Xenopus tropicalis: one gene and its partners. The protein of the gene in region 1 interacts with the protein of each later gene in a pairwise test. Links are inferred from orthologs where the notes say so. Each region holds a gene or a part of one and is shown on either strand. Other genes may lie near its edges.

The links.
Region 2: the proteins of ube2k (region 1) and E3 ubiquitin-protein ligase DTX3L interact in binary tests that used the Homo sapiens proteins (3 or more experiments, as listed by UniProt). The link is inferred for Xenopus tropicalis from reciprocal best matches to the Homo sapiens genes UBE2K and DTX3L.
Region 3: the proteins of ube2k (region 1) and rnf32 interact in binary tests that used the Homo sapiens proteins (3 or more experiments, as listed by UniProt). The link is inferred for Xenopus tropicalis from reciprocal best matches to the Homo sapiens genes UBE2K and RNF32.

Annotation. Positions count from the first base shown.
Region 1 is NC_030677.2:36,220,624-36,224,881, reverse strand, and holds the start of ube2k (ubiquitin-conjugating enzyme E2 K), read right to left. Parts: upstream 2,806-4,258; 5' UTR 2,695-2,805; coding exon 2,632-2,694; intron 1-2,631. UniProt on the Homo sapiens protein: Accepts ubiquitin from the E1 complex and catalyzes its covalent attachment to other proteins. In vitro, in the presence or in the absence of BRCA1-BARD1 E3 ubiquitin-protein ligase complex, catalyzes the synthesis of 'Lys-48'-linked polyubiquitin chains.
Region 2 is NC_030685.2:90,208,202-90,211,457, forward strand, and holds part of E3 ubiquitin-protein ligase DTX3L, read right to left. Parts: intron 3,238-3,256; coding exon 3,005-3,237; intron 1,867-3,004; coding exon 427-1,866; intron 1-426.
Region 3 is NC_030682.2:17,285,361-17,288,878, forward strand, and holds part of rnf32 (RING finger protein 32), read left to right. Parts: intron 1-2,004; coding exon 2,005-2,147; intron 2,148-3,518. UniProt on the Homo sapiens protein: May play a role in sperm formation.

The sequences.
Region 1 (4,258 bases):
TAAATAAAATTACTTTAGAGTGTTATTCCCCTTTTAATAATTTACCAAATTCCAATAAATACACCAACAATAAAGAAAATGAAAATAAAATAAGGGGATATATTTTTCTACTAAGAAGTCAAGACAGCTTTTGTGGCTGCTTGTAGCCATAGCTGGACTTATCTATTTGCACAACTTGAGCAGACCCTCGTCAAAAAAAAAAGCAATGTGTATTACTAAATATCACTTAGTATCACTGAGATATTATGTGCATTCTAATCCAACTAGCTGCACCAGGTTCAGCCTAATAAAAGGTTCAGAATTTAAGGTGTCCATACATAGGGCAAATACTGGCTGCGATTCTTGATTGAGTCAGCAGGCTACTGACCCATCTGGCAGATCAAATACATTAGCCCTATGTCCAGGGCTAGGAGCTTCTGCTGCTCATGGAGAAAGTAAAATTGCAGAAATGACCACTAAAAACCTCTGGTGAACACTGCAGCTTAAGCTAAGTGAAGACAAACGGGGTGTAGTGCTGCATGTTATGATACTTTCTAAAAATCTTTTGTGGCCCTTGCTTAACCTAAAATAAATGGAGGACAAAGAAGAAATAAGCAATTACTTTATAACATTAGAAAATGTGTATTTCTTAATATGGTGAGCGATATTACTAATCCTAATTTGTAACTGCAACAATTTTTAGATGCAGCTTCTCAATGAATGGGCAGCACGCTGTCTCAAATGAAAGTTTCTCCATAAAGTGGCAGGAGGATATGCGGCAATGCCAGCCTTTGATCTAGCGCACACGAGAAAGTTACAGTTAACAAATTTGCACTCCACTGTTTCACAGAGTTACCCAGTGATTATGACCAGAAGCCACATATTTACCAAAGATTGAATCTAGAAGTCATCATAGTCTGCAAGAGTGAAATTCTGCTACTCTTTATACATTAATATGAAACTTTAGAGGGTATATTTATCAATACATATAAATGAGTTTACACTTTGATAAATATGTTTTCACTAATTGAATAGAAATTAATATAATGAGGGAAATTTCACTGTGGCTGACTATGGCAAGCTGTAGTTTAATACTTTGATAAATATCCCCCTTTGATTTCATTTCTGAAGTTTCACTGAATGGATTTCAAGGGCCATTAATAAGGAGAGAAAAAGTTGGAAGGGAGAGCCAGAGGGAACTGCAGTCTTTTCTACACAACTGTCCTACTTTTCCATGTCTCTAATACAATCCTTTAGTACCTTCTACATGACTCTAAACACTTCTGCAGCCCCACTCTATGGCAGTCTCTAATAAACTCCTGTCAAATCGTTCCAAGGCAGTCCCTAATACACTCCCATAAAAAAAACTCCATGGCAGCCCGTGATACACTCATGTCAAACCTATCCCTATCAATCTCTAACATACTTTTGTAGTAGTGATGAGCGGGTTGACCCACAACCTGCATTTTACCCTTAGGTCAGGCAGGTTAGGGTTGGGGGGTGTTGTGGGTTCAGGTTGGGTGTGGGTCAGACTAGGGAAGCACCTCTGCTCCTGAACTTTCCCTTCCTTGGAACCTAAGGCGAGAGCAGCAAACAATGTAGAAAGACGCAAGTACGTGTTTTAAATGCAAATCCTATATCGGCAACAATTTGTGGGATACGGTCAGTTGCAGGTTGACTTTTTCCTGACCCCCACACCACTATCTTGTAGTCTCTTCTGCAGTCCCTTTCCATGGCAGTCTCTACACAATCCTGTAGTCTCTTGATGGCAGTTTCCAATTCACTCCTATAGTACCTTTCCACGGCAGTCTCTAATACACTTCTGTAATTCTCCTCCAAAGCAGTCTCTAATACACTTCTGCAGTCCCTCTCCAAGGCAGTCCCTAATACACTTCTGCAGTCCGTCTCCAAGGCAGTCCCTAATACACTTCTGCAGTCCGTCTCCAAGGCAGTCCCTAATACACTTCTGCAGTCCCTCTCCAAGGCAGTCCCTAATACACTTCTGCAGTCCCTCTCCAAGGCAGTCCCTAATACACTTCTGCAGTCCCTCTCCAAGGCAGTCCCTAATACACTTCTGCAGTCCCTCTCCAAGGCAGTCCCTAATACACTTCTGCAGTCCGTCTCCAAGGCAGTCTCTAATACACTTCTGCAGTCCCTCTCCAAGGCAGTCCCTAATACACTTCTGCAGTCCGTCTCCAAGGCAGTCTCTAATACACTTCTGCAGTCCCTCTCCAAGGCAGTCTCTAATACACTTCTGCAGTCCCTCTCCAAGGCAGTCCCTAATACACTTCTGCAGTCCGTCTCCAAGGCAGTCTCTAATACACTTCTGCAGTCCCTCTCCAAGGCAGTCTCTAATACACTTCTGCAGTCCCTCTCCAAGGCAGTCTCTAATACACTTCTGCAGTCCCTCTCCAAGGCAGTCTCTAATACACTTCTGCAGTCCCTCTCCAAGGCAGTCTCTAATACAGTCAAGTAGTCCCTCTCCCTATCAGTCTCTAATACACTCCAATAGTCCCTCCCCATGGCATGCCTGGCTGTGGCAGCCTTCTATACTACCTCTTTAGAGCAGTTTACTGGATTTATCTTAAGCACACTGTCACCAATTGTTGCCCCTCATTGTATATAGCCAGACGCACTTCTGTCTCCTCTCACCTCTTCGCTTTTGAGCACCTCCTTGAACTCCCTTTTGATCCTCTGTGCTGCGATGTTCGCCATAATTGCCCCAGTTTCCGTACTTGACTGAGTCACCTTAAATTGCTGCAGTGCACGTTAAGTACGCCAGGCTTCCTCCCTCCGTGCAGTGCCGGCCCTGTGTGCTCTGCCTCCCCCGCCCCGCACAACGAAACCTAGCACAACAGTACACTGCAAAATGGCGAACCTGACACATGCGCAATACAAGAGTCTGGGCGGCCCACAGGAAGAACTTCCTGACAGGGTCCCTGCTCACGTCACTTTGGCCCGCCCCACAAATGAGACGTAACAGCGCGCCACAGAATCCCCGGGCTCCATTCATGCAGGGCTCAGTCACGTGATGTGTCACTGGACCCCAGCGCTAAACAGAAGAGTCGTGCAGTGTTGTAAAGTTTGGCTTTAGCAGCAGATTTCTATGAAACCAAAGGTCGTAGCCTGCCAGAGCTATGCAATTCTTATTAGAGGATGGGCTGACTACCTGCCCCTAGTAAGCATTTGTCTCAGCAAAATAGATATGCCACAACATGCATTAGTCACCTGACTCGTATTGGAAATCCAGAAGTTCCTGCTTAGTCTGCTGTATGGGAACTTTTTGTTCTCTTCCTTTTCAAAAGTCCTATGACTGGTCATGACCTACATCTGTTATCTAGAAAAAAAATAAAGCAGGGGCATAACTACAAAGGAGGCAGACCATGTGGTTGCAGGGGGGCCCTGGAGTGTAGAGGGCCCAGTAAGGGCCATGACACATAGGGAGATTAGTTGCACCACAACAAATGCCATCCCGTGGCATACACGGCACTGCGATATGCCGAAGTCACCGACATTTCCTCTCAAGGCGACTTTGGCAAATGGCGGCGCTGCGTATGCCATCCTACCGCTGATTTACATTGTAGCCGGTGGGATGGCATTGCGGGGAGATTAGTCGCCCGCAACAACAGAGATTTGTCATGGCAGCTCTAATCTCCCTGTATGTCACGGCCCTGAATAGTGAGCAGTTTTACTATATCTTGATAGGATAGGTCAATTTACCAACGATTTGGGCCCCTAAATTGAATTCTTTTGGGACAAGTGACATCTATTCATGCCACTGGTTGTGTGCATTTTCCTAAGCAGAGATGCTATCTGGATAATATAGCAAAGGCCAGCCAGTTAAATGATACATGCCACTACAGTTATTAAAGGACAAGGAAAGGCTAATACCTTGGGTGGTGCCAGTTACTTAAAATAAATGCACCACCAGAGATACCTTGTGCCTCGATTTGAATTCTATATCTGTATATCCATAGTTCAGTTAATTTTCTGGCTTAAAGGGGTGCTGCTCATCCCAAAAGAAATTACCTTTAAATAGTAACACCTTTTACAATGTGTCATTATGGCTTAATTTTGGCGGAAAATTAAAAGCCACCATTCTTAATTTAAAAGGTATTTTCAAATGCTTTAGAGACTTGGGACTGATTATGTGACATAAAGTCTTTATGATACCATAGCGGTCATTCTTGACCCCAGGGGACAAAGTGCAAGAGCACTAAAGGGCGCAAGAGTGGCTTTAGAGAAGCCTTTCTTCAATCATTATGTTCTGTACTTACTT
Region 2 (3,256 bases), on another chromosome or scaffold:
CCTGGGAAGAAGGCAAAGCTGACGGATAGGAGCCCTGGGAAGAAGGCAAAGCTGACGGATAGGAGCCCTGGGAAGAAGGCAAAGCTGACGGGAGCCCTGGGAAGAAGGCAAAGCTGACGGATAGGAGCCCTGGGAAGAAGGCAAAGCTGACGGATAGGAGCCCTGGGAAGAAGGCAAAGCTGACGGATAGGAGCCCTGGGAAGAAGGCAAAGCTGACGGATAGGAGCCCTGGGAAGAAGGCAAAGCTGACGGATAGGAGCCCTGGGAAGAAGGCAAAGCTGACGGATAGGAGCCATGGAAAGAATGTCAGGGTTGGGGCAGTGTCTGTGGGATATGGGGGGACCCATGTGGGATATGGGGGGGCCCATGTAGGGGGGAACAGAGACACATTATTATATGAGGGAGGGGATAGGATCAGGTACTCACCCCCTGTACCCCATTTGGGAAAGAATAGTTAATGGTTATGGTGCCGCAGCGATAGCCGGACAATGGCATGTTGGATGTTGAGTGGGTCATTGTGCCGTCAGGTTGGTTCCCTGTGACCAGTCCGTATGGGACGTTACACACTGGGCAGACTGGTTTGTGCTTCTTGGTTTCTTCCCAACACCCGGCACAGATGACGTGTTTGCATTTCTCCAGCACCAGTTTGGGTTTCGGCTCACACATACAGATGGGGCACTTATCCTCCTCTTCCTCAGGTTTCTTTCTTACTTCGGTGGATGGGCCCTCGCCCGTGTCCATTGGCTCCTCCCCCTCTGCGCCGGAGGCACCGCCATTTAGCCACTGACCCAACAACTTCTCGGCCGCGTGTATGTTACCCGGGGACCCAATCAGATCCAGGGATCCGTTGTGCCAGGTACTGATGATCTCTATCTGGTTCTGTATGAGCCGCTCCTGGACTGAAGACAATTGGGTTTCCGGAAATTCTGGTTTCACTTTGATTTCTCTCGTGATGATGTTGGAGAGAGTTTTGTGCCAGAGACAGAGGAAGATCTGGCAGGCGTGGGGCGCGAGGTCGGGGGGCCCATTCCTGGGGCAGAAACGGATCTGTACTTTCCCTTTATCCCCGTTATTTCCACTCGCCGTTATGGTTACATCGTATTTATCTTCTATTTCCCGAATCTGATTGGCTTTCAGCTCCTTCAGGATCTCCCATTGGCTCCCGCTGACGCTCAGGTCTCGGCTCATGTTGCCGATGGAGATGGGAATGACCCTGTGGGGCGCGGGGGGCTCAGTCGGACCCTCCTCTAACAGCCTCTTGGCCTGGGCTAATTCCCGCTCGGGGCCCCTCAGCGTCACCGTGTCCCCCTCCATTATGGTCTGCGTTTTGCCGCAATGTTCCCGCACTCTGCGCCCGACCTCACTCGCCGGCACCTTCGTTTCACTTAATTTCACTATTATCTGACTCCAGTCTGCGATTATCTTCTGAATGGCGTCGGTGAAACACCGACCGGCTTTCTCGGCGCTGGAATCGGACCCCATTGGAATAAAACGTATTTCGTTCCCCGAGGAGCTGCTGGAATCCCTCATTTCCACCTTAAATCGGTTCCTTATCTTTTCAACCGTATCCGGGTAGATTTCCATAAAGTACTGGTATAAACCTGGCGGAACGGAGACTGTATCTTCCCCTTGCGCTGGGGGCCCGTTACCCCCATCAGAGGGCAGGAAGCTGGGGTCACTGGGGCCCATTATTTGCCCCCTCAGATAGTCGTGCACCTGTTTAATTGCGGAGAAGGAGCCGGTCACCTCCAGTTTCCCGTCGGATCCGTTTCTCACTTTAACAGATGCAAATAATTTCTTTTCCATTGCACTTTCCAACAATGCGCGGAAGGCGGGGCCTATAAACGCAGTGACCTCAGGGAATATCTGCAAAAAAAAAAACCAGAAACTTTATAGGGAATTTAATGAAAAATTAACAAAAGTAGCGCAAATAAAGGTCATTTCTACTCACTGACACAAACTCCTCCCCCAGTTAAAGGGACACAACGCCCTAAATCAGAAGTTTCATTGCATTTGGTTAAAGCCCCCCCTGTCTTGTGTAACTGCTGCTGATACTTAGTACAGTCATATACAGCCACATCATGTTACCCATCTGCCTATAGGTCCCAGGGTATTAAGCACTTAAGCCTGAAAGTCACTGGGAATCTGAATATACTGCAGGGGTTAAATATGGGGGCTATTTGCCCCAGTTGGACCTGAATGCCCCCCAAAGTCACTGTAACACACATGGATGAGACTGATTATTATTTGGGAAAGAACGACTCCTGTCGAATGTCAGAAAATTGTCGTATTTGCGCCGACGTAATCACAGACCAGTTTTCCAGCATTTTTCTACCTTTAAAGACAATTTTCAAAAAAATGTTGCTAAAAAGTGGGCGTGGCTATTTTGTGCGGTATAAACAACCTTTCTGACAATTAGTGACATTTTTCAGACATTTTCTACACCAAAATGTCTCCACCGTAAGGGAATGTTGAGGAAAATGCCGATTGGCCGTAAGCAATAGCCATAGTTTGCATGTATATATCGTAAAATGGCGGCGTTACGATGAGGTTCCGTCTGTGGATCTGCCACACTTACAGCATCTTTACATGAGTCCCATGAGTCTAGCACTGCCCCCCAGGGGCTGATGGGAAGCCAATTGGGCAGAATGGGTCGATCCTTATTGTACAACTGGGAATGTGCCAATAGCTCTATAGTAAGTTACACAGTACTACTCACACCCCCATTAAGGCACTGCTCTCTAAAGGGGCCCTTGGGGGTGGGAAAGGTCCTGACTGAACCCCCATTTCCATCTGACCTGAATCTCTAAGCCAATTGGCCCGGCCTCCAAGCCCAAGGTGCCAGCCAGTAACATGGGTAAGAGGGGTCGGCATGGGGGGTAAAACCCCAAGTGAGATTTTCTTACATCGCTTGCTGCCAGACTCTGACTTACAATCTCCAGAACCCAACCCTGCTGGACTCACACAACAGAACCACATAGGGAAAGTGCTGATGGGTTGGTACCTCCTGAGAAGGATCCAGTTGGGTTGAACTCACTCCCCTTTGCCCCGGGGGGGCAGCTGTCTGGGGAACTCTATGAGGCTCTTCCTTCCTCTCGCTGTAAGTCTCGGCCTCCATATTCACTGGGCTCCCATCCTCTTCCTCAGATAATCTCAGGTCCACATACACTGGATCAGCACCTTCTGGGGCTTTTAAAGAAATTTTATGATCCTTTTTCTTCAATACATTGTCCTTGTCTGCAAGAAAAACAGGAGG
Region 3 (3,518 bases), on another chromosome or scaffold:
AATGATTCCCTTTTCTCTGTAATAATAAAACAGTACCTGTACTTGGTCCCAACTAAAATTTAATAATTCCTTATTAAATGCAAAATAATCCTAGGGGGTTTAATTCTTGTTTATATCATTTTTAGTAGGCGTATTGTATGGAGATCCAGATTACAGAAAGACCGCTTATCTGGAAACCCCATGTCTTGAACATTATGGTAACAGATCGCATACCTGTACAGTCATTTTATTACAACTGTTTTCCCTTAGAATTTAGGTGGCCAACACACCAAGTTGGCAGCTTATCGGCCCATTTATGGGGCCATTATAAGGGCCAAACAACCTATATCTACCCAAAAATCAGCCAGATGTTGATCAGGCAGGTTTTAAAATGCCATCAACATGATTTAATCGTTAAGCCCTTGGGCCAAAACAATTGGATCAATCCGATATCACCTAACTGAAGGTGGGCATATCGGGGAAAGATCCACTCATTTAGCCACCTTGCCAAACTAGGAGATCTTTCAGTACTCATGTGTACAGAACCTTGTTATTCCATGGCATACACTGGTCTATGTGTCCTTTATTTCTGCTTCAGATTTATTTGCTGCCATTTGTTTAGAGTAATGTCCCACGGGGTGATTAGTCGCCTGTGATAAAACTTTGCTACCGCAGTTGACAAATCTCCACGAAAAGCCTTTGTGCCTGCAATACAGGGAATCGCCGGTGGAAAGGCCTATGCATCGCTTCGGTTTTAAGTTGAGTAAAGTTGCCTGCAGGAGGAGGCTGTGTGACTTCAGAAAACCGAAGCGATGTGTAGGCCTTTCCACCACCAATCCCCTTTATTGCAGGCAGAAAGGCTTTTCAGCAGAGATTTAACGCAGGCGACTAATGTCCCTGTAGGACATTACCCTTAGAAGTTCCATTATAACTTGAAGATTAAAGTCAAACAGAGATCAGTCGACCAAGGAGACTCCCTGCAGCCTTGTGTTATATGTAAGGAGGAGTTTGGTATCCATCCCCAGGTATGTACATACAGTACTCTGTATAGGAGGGAATATGAGCATTGTATTTGGAATCCATTTTCAGGTCTGTGTTAGATTAGAAAGAATATAGTAACACCATGAAAACATAATAGCTTTTTTCTGTATATAACACATTGAAAGCCTGGGTTTCTTTCATTTACTCTCATTCACGCTACCTTTGGTGAGCTAAATCCCCCTATAGTAAGCAGGAAAGCCATGTCTTTAGGTAGAAGTGTTAATGTATCCAACTTCCTCTGAGAAATGCATTCACCCTTAAAGTAAACGTTTAACTTGGCTTTTATGGAAATATTGTGATAGCAGAATTCAGCGCTTCCCTGCTCACTCACTGGATCGTTCCATTGTTCCATCCCGCTGACAGTATTATTACTCTGCACTCCTTTGGATTCTTCCTGCCTGACTTACGCTCAGTGTCATACAGTAAGGAAGGAAATAGGGAAAACTGAATCCTATATTTCGCCATCAAGCAAATTTTTTAGCAAAACCCCAGCAAAATTTTGTGAGAAAAATTACTCCAATGCATTTTGAAAAAACTGAAAAAAATTGGCTTCAATGTATTTTTTTAGTTAAAAGATTTTAAATGGAAATTTCCCATTTTGTCTCCAGCACTGTGTGGGCTTCCCTGTAACATTAAAGATCTTCCTACAGACTCTTCCATTATTCTTTATGGCATAACCCTTTCTGGTTTTCAGTCTGGCTGGGCCCTCTTTGCTCAGGGCTGCAAGTAACTATAGCCACACATAAATAAATGCTGGAATTATTTTGCTTACAGTACCTCTTGCCACTTACTTGAGCAGGGTGCAGTGGGCACAGTTTACTCATTACACTAAGCACTGTGTGGCACTATAGGGCGGTACCCAACTATTGCCACTCTAACCGACCTGCCTTGTACATAATGTATATATGAGTGCTATGTAATACAGAAACAATGCTGTGCCTAATGGGAGACGGTGGGGTACCTAACACCTTTCTCTTTATAAAGCTCAGAAACTGGGCATCGTTGGGGCCCCTGCTCTGCCCTTAACACATGAAGAATGGATTAAAGTCAAACAGAGATCAGTCGACCAAGGAGACTCCCTGCAGCCTTGTGTTATATGTAAGGAGGAGTTTGGTATCCATCCCCAGGTATGTACATACAATACTCTGTATAGGAGGGAATATGAGCATTGTATTTGGAATCCATTTTCAGGTCTGTGTTAGATTAGAAAGAATATAGTAACACCATGAAAACATAATAGCTATTTTCTGTATATAACACATTGAAAGCCTGGGTTTCTGCCTTTATTGCCCTATGAGAGTAGGCAGCAGTTATAAGTGAATAGACATTCTAGGCAGTTTGGGAATGAAATGATTCATTAAAAGAGGGGAGGGGATCATTTTCAGGAAATTGGTTCTGGGGAGGCGACATGGTCATGATAACATTTTTAAAGAGCAAAGTTTTCCCTGATCCAGAAATCAACTGTGAGTAACTATATGATTGTTCTGAGCACTAAAGCCAACTGTAAATTGACTGCAGTGGACAACTGGCCATTGTTCCTATTATATAGAGTAGAGAATTTCAGCTATCATGTTTCCCTACAGAAGTGATCCCCAACCAGTGGCTCAGGGGCAACATGTTGCTCCCCAACCCCTTGGCTGTTGCTCCCAGTGGCCTCAAAGTAGGTGCTTATTAGTGAATTCCTGGCTTGGGGGCAAGTTTTAGTTGCATAATAACCAGGTGTACTGACAATCAGAGCCTCCTGTAGGCTGCCAGTCCACATAGGGGCTAACTTGCTTGTGTTGCACCCCCAAATCTTTTTACATTTGATAGTGGCTCGCGGGTGAAAAAAGGTTGGGGATCCCTGCCCTATAGTATATGCATTAATCATAGTAGCACTAGTGCAAGGGAGACATTTAACTAGTTAAAGATGTTTGTTTTTACAAAAAAATGCATGCAGTATTTAAGCAAAAAGGAAAATGACTTTACTGCCATCTAGAGAACACTTAAACAGATTACAGAGCCCTCAGTTATTTTTTTATACAAGTATTATACACTACTAGCAATACCGTGTGTATAAAGTAATTTTAGTCTTAATCCATAACTGGGCTGTGCAGGGTATTCCACTCAGCACTTGCTTGTGTATGTTAAATGCAATGTTTTATCTATGTCAGGCAGTGATCTCCAACCAGTGGCTCGGGGGCAACATGTTGCTCACCAACCCCTTGGGTGTTGCTCTCAGTGGCCTCAAAGCAGCTGCTTATTTTTGAATTTCTGTCTTGGGGCAAGTTTTGGAGGCATAAAGACAATGTGTACTGCTAAATAGGGTCTCCTGAAACCTGTCAGTCTACATTGGGCTACCAAATAACCAATAACAGCCTTTATTGGTCACTCCCTTTTTCCATGCTTGCATTGCTCCCCAACTTTTTATATATTTAAATTTTGCTAACCGGTAAGAAAGGTTGGGATCCCCTGATGTACACGAAAGCCCATTGTGCCATTACCCTGCCTACAAATAT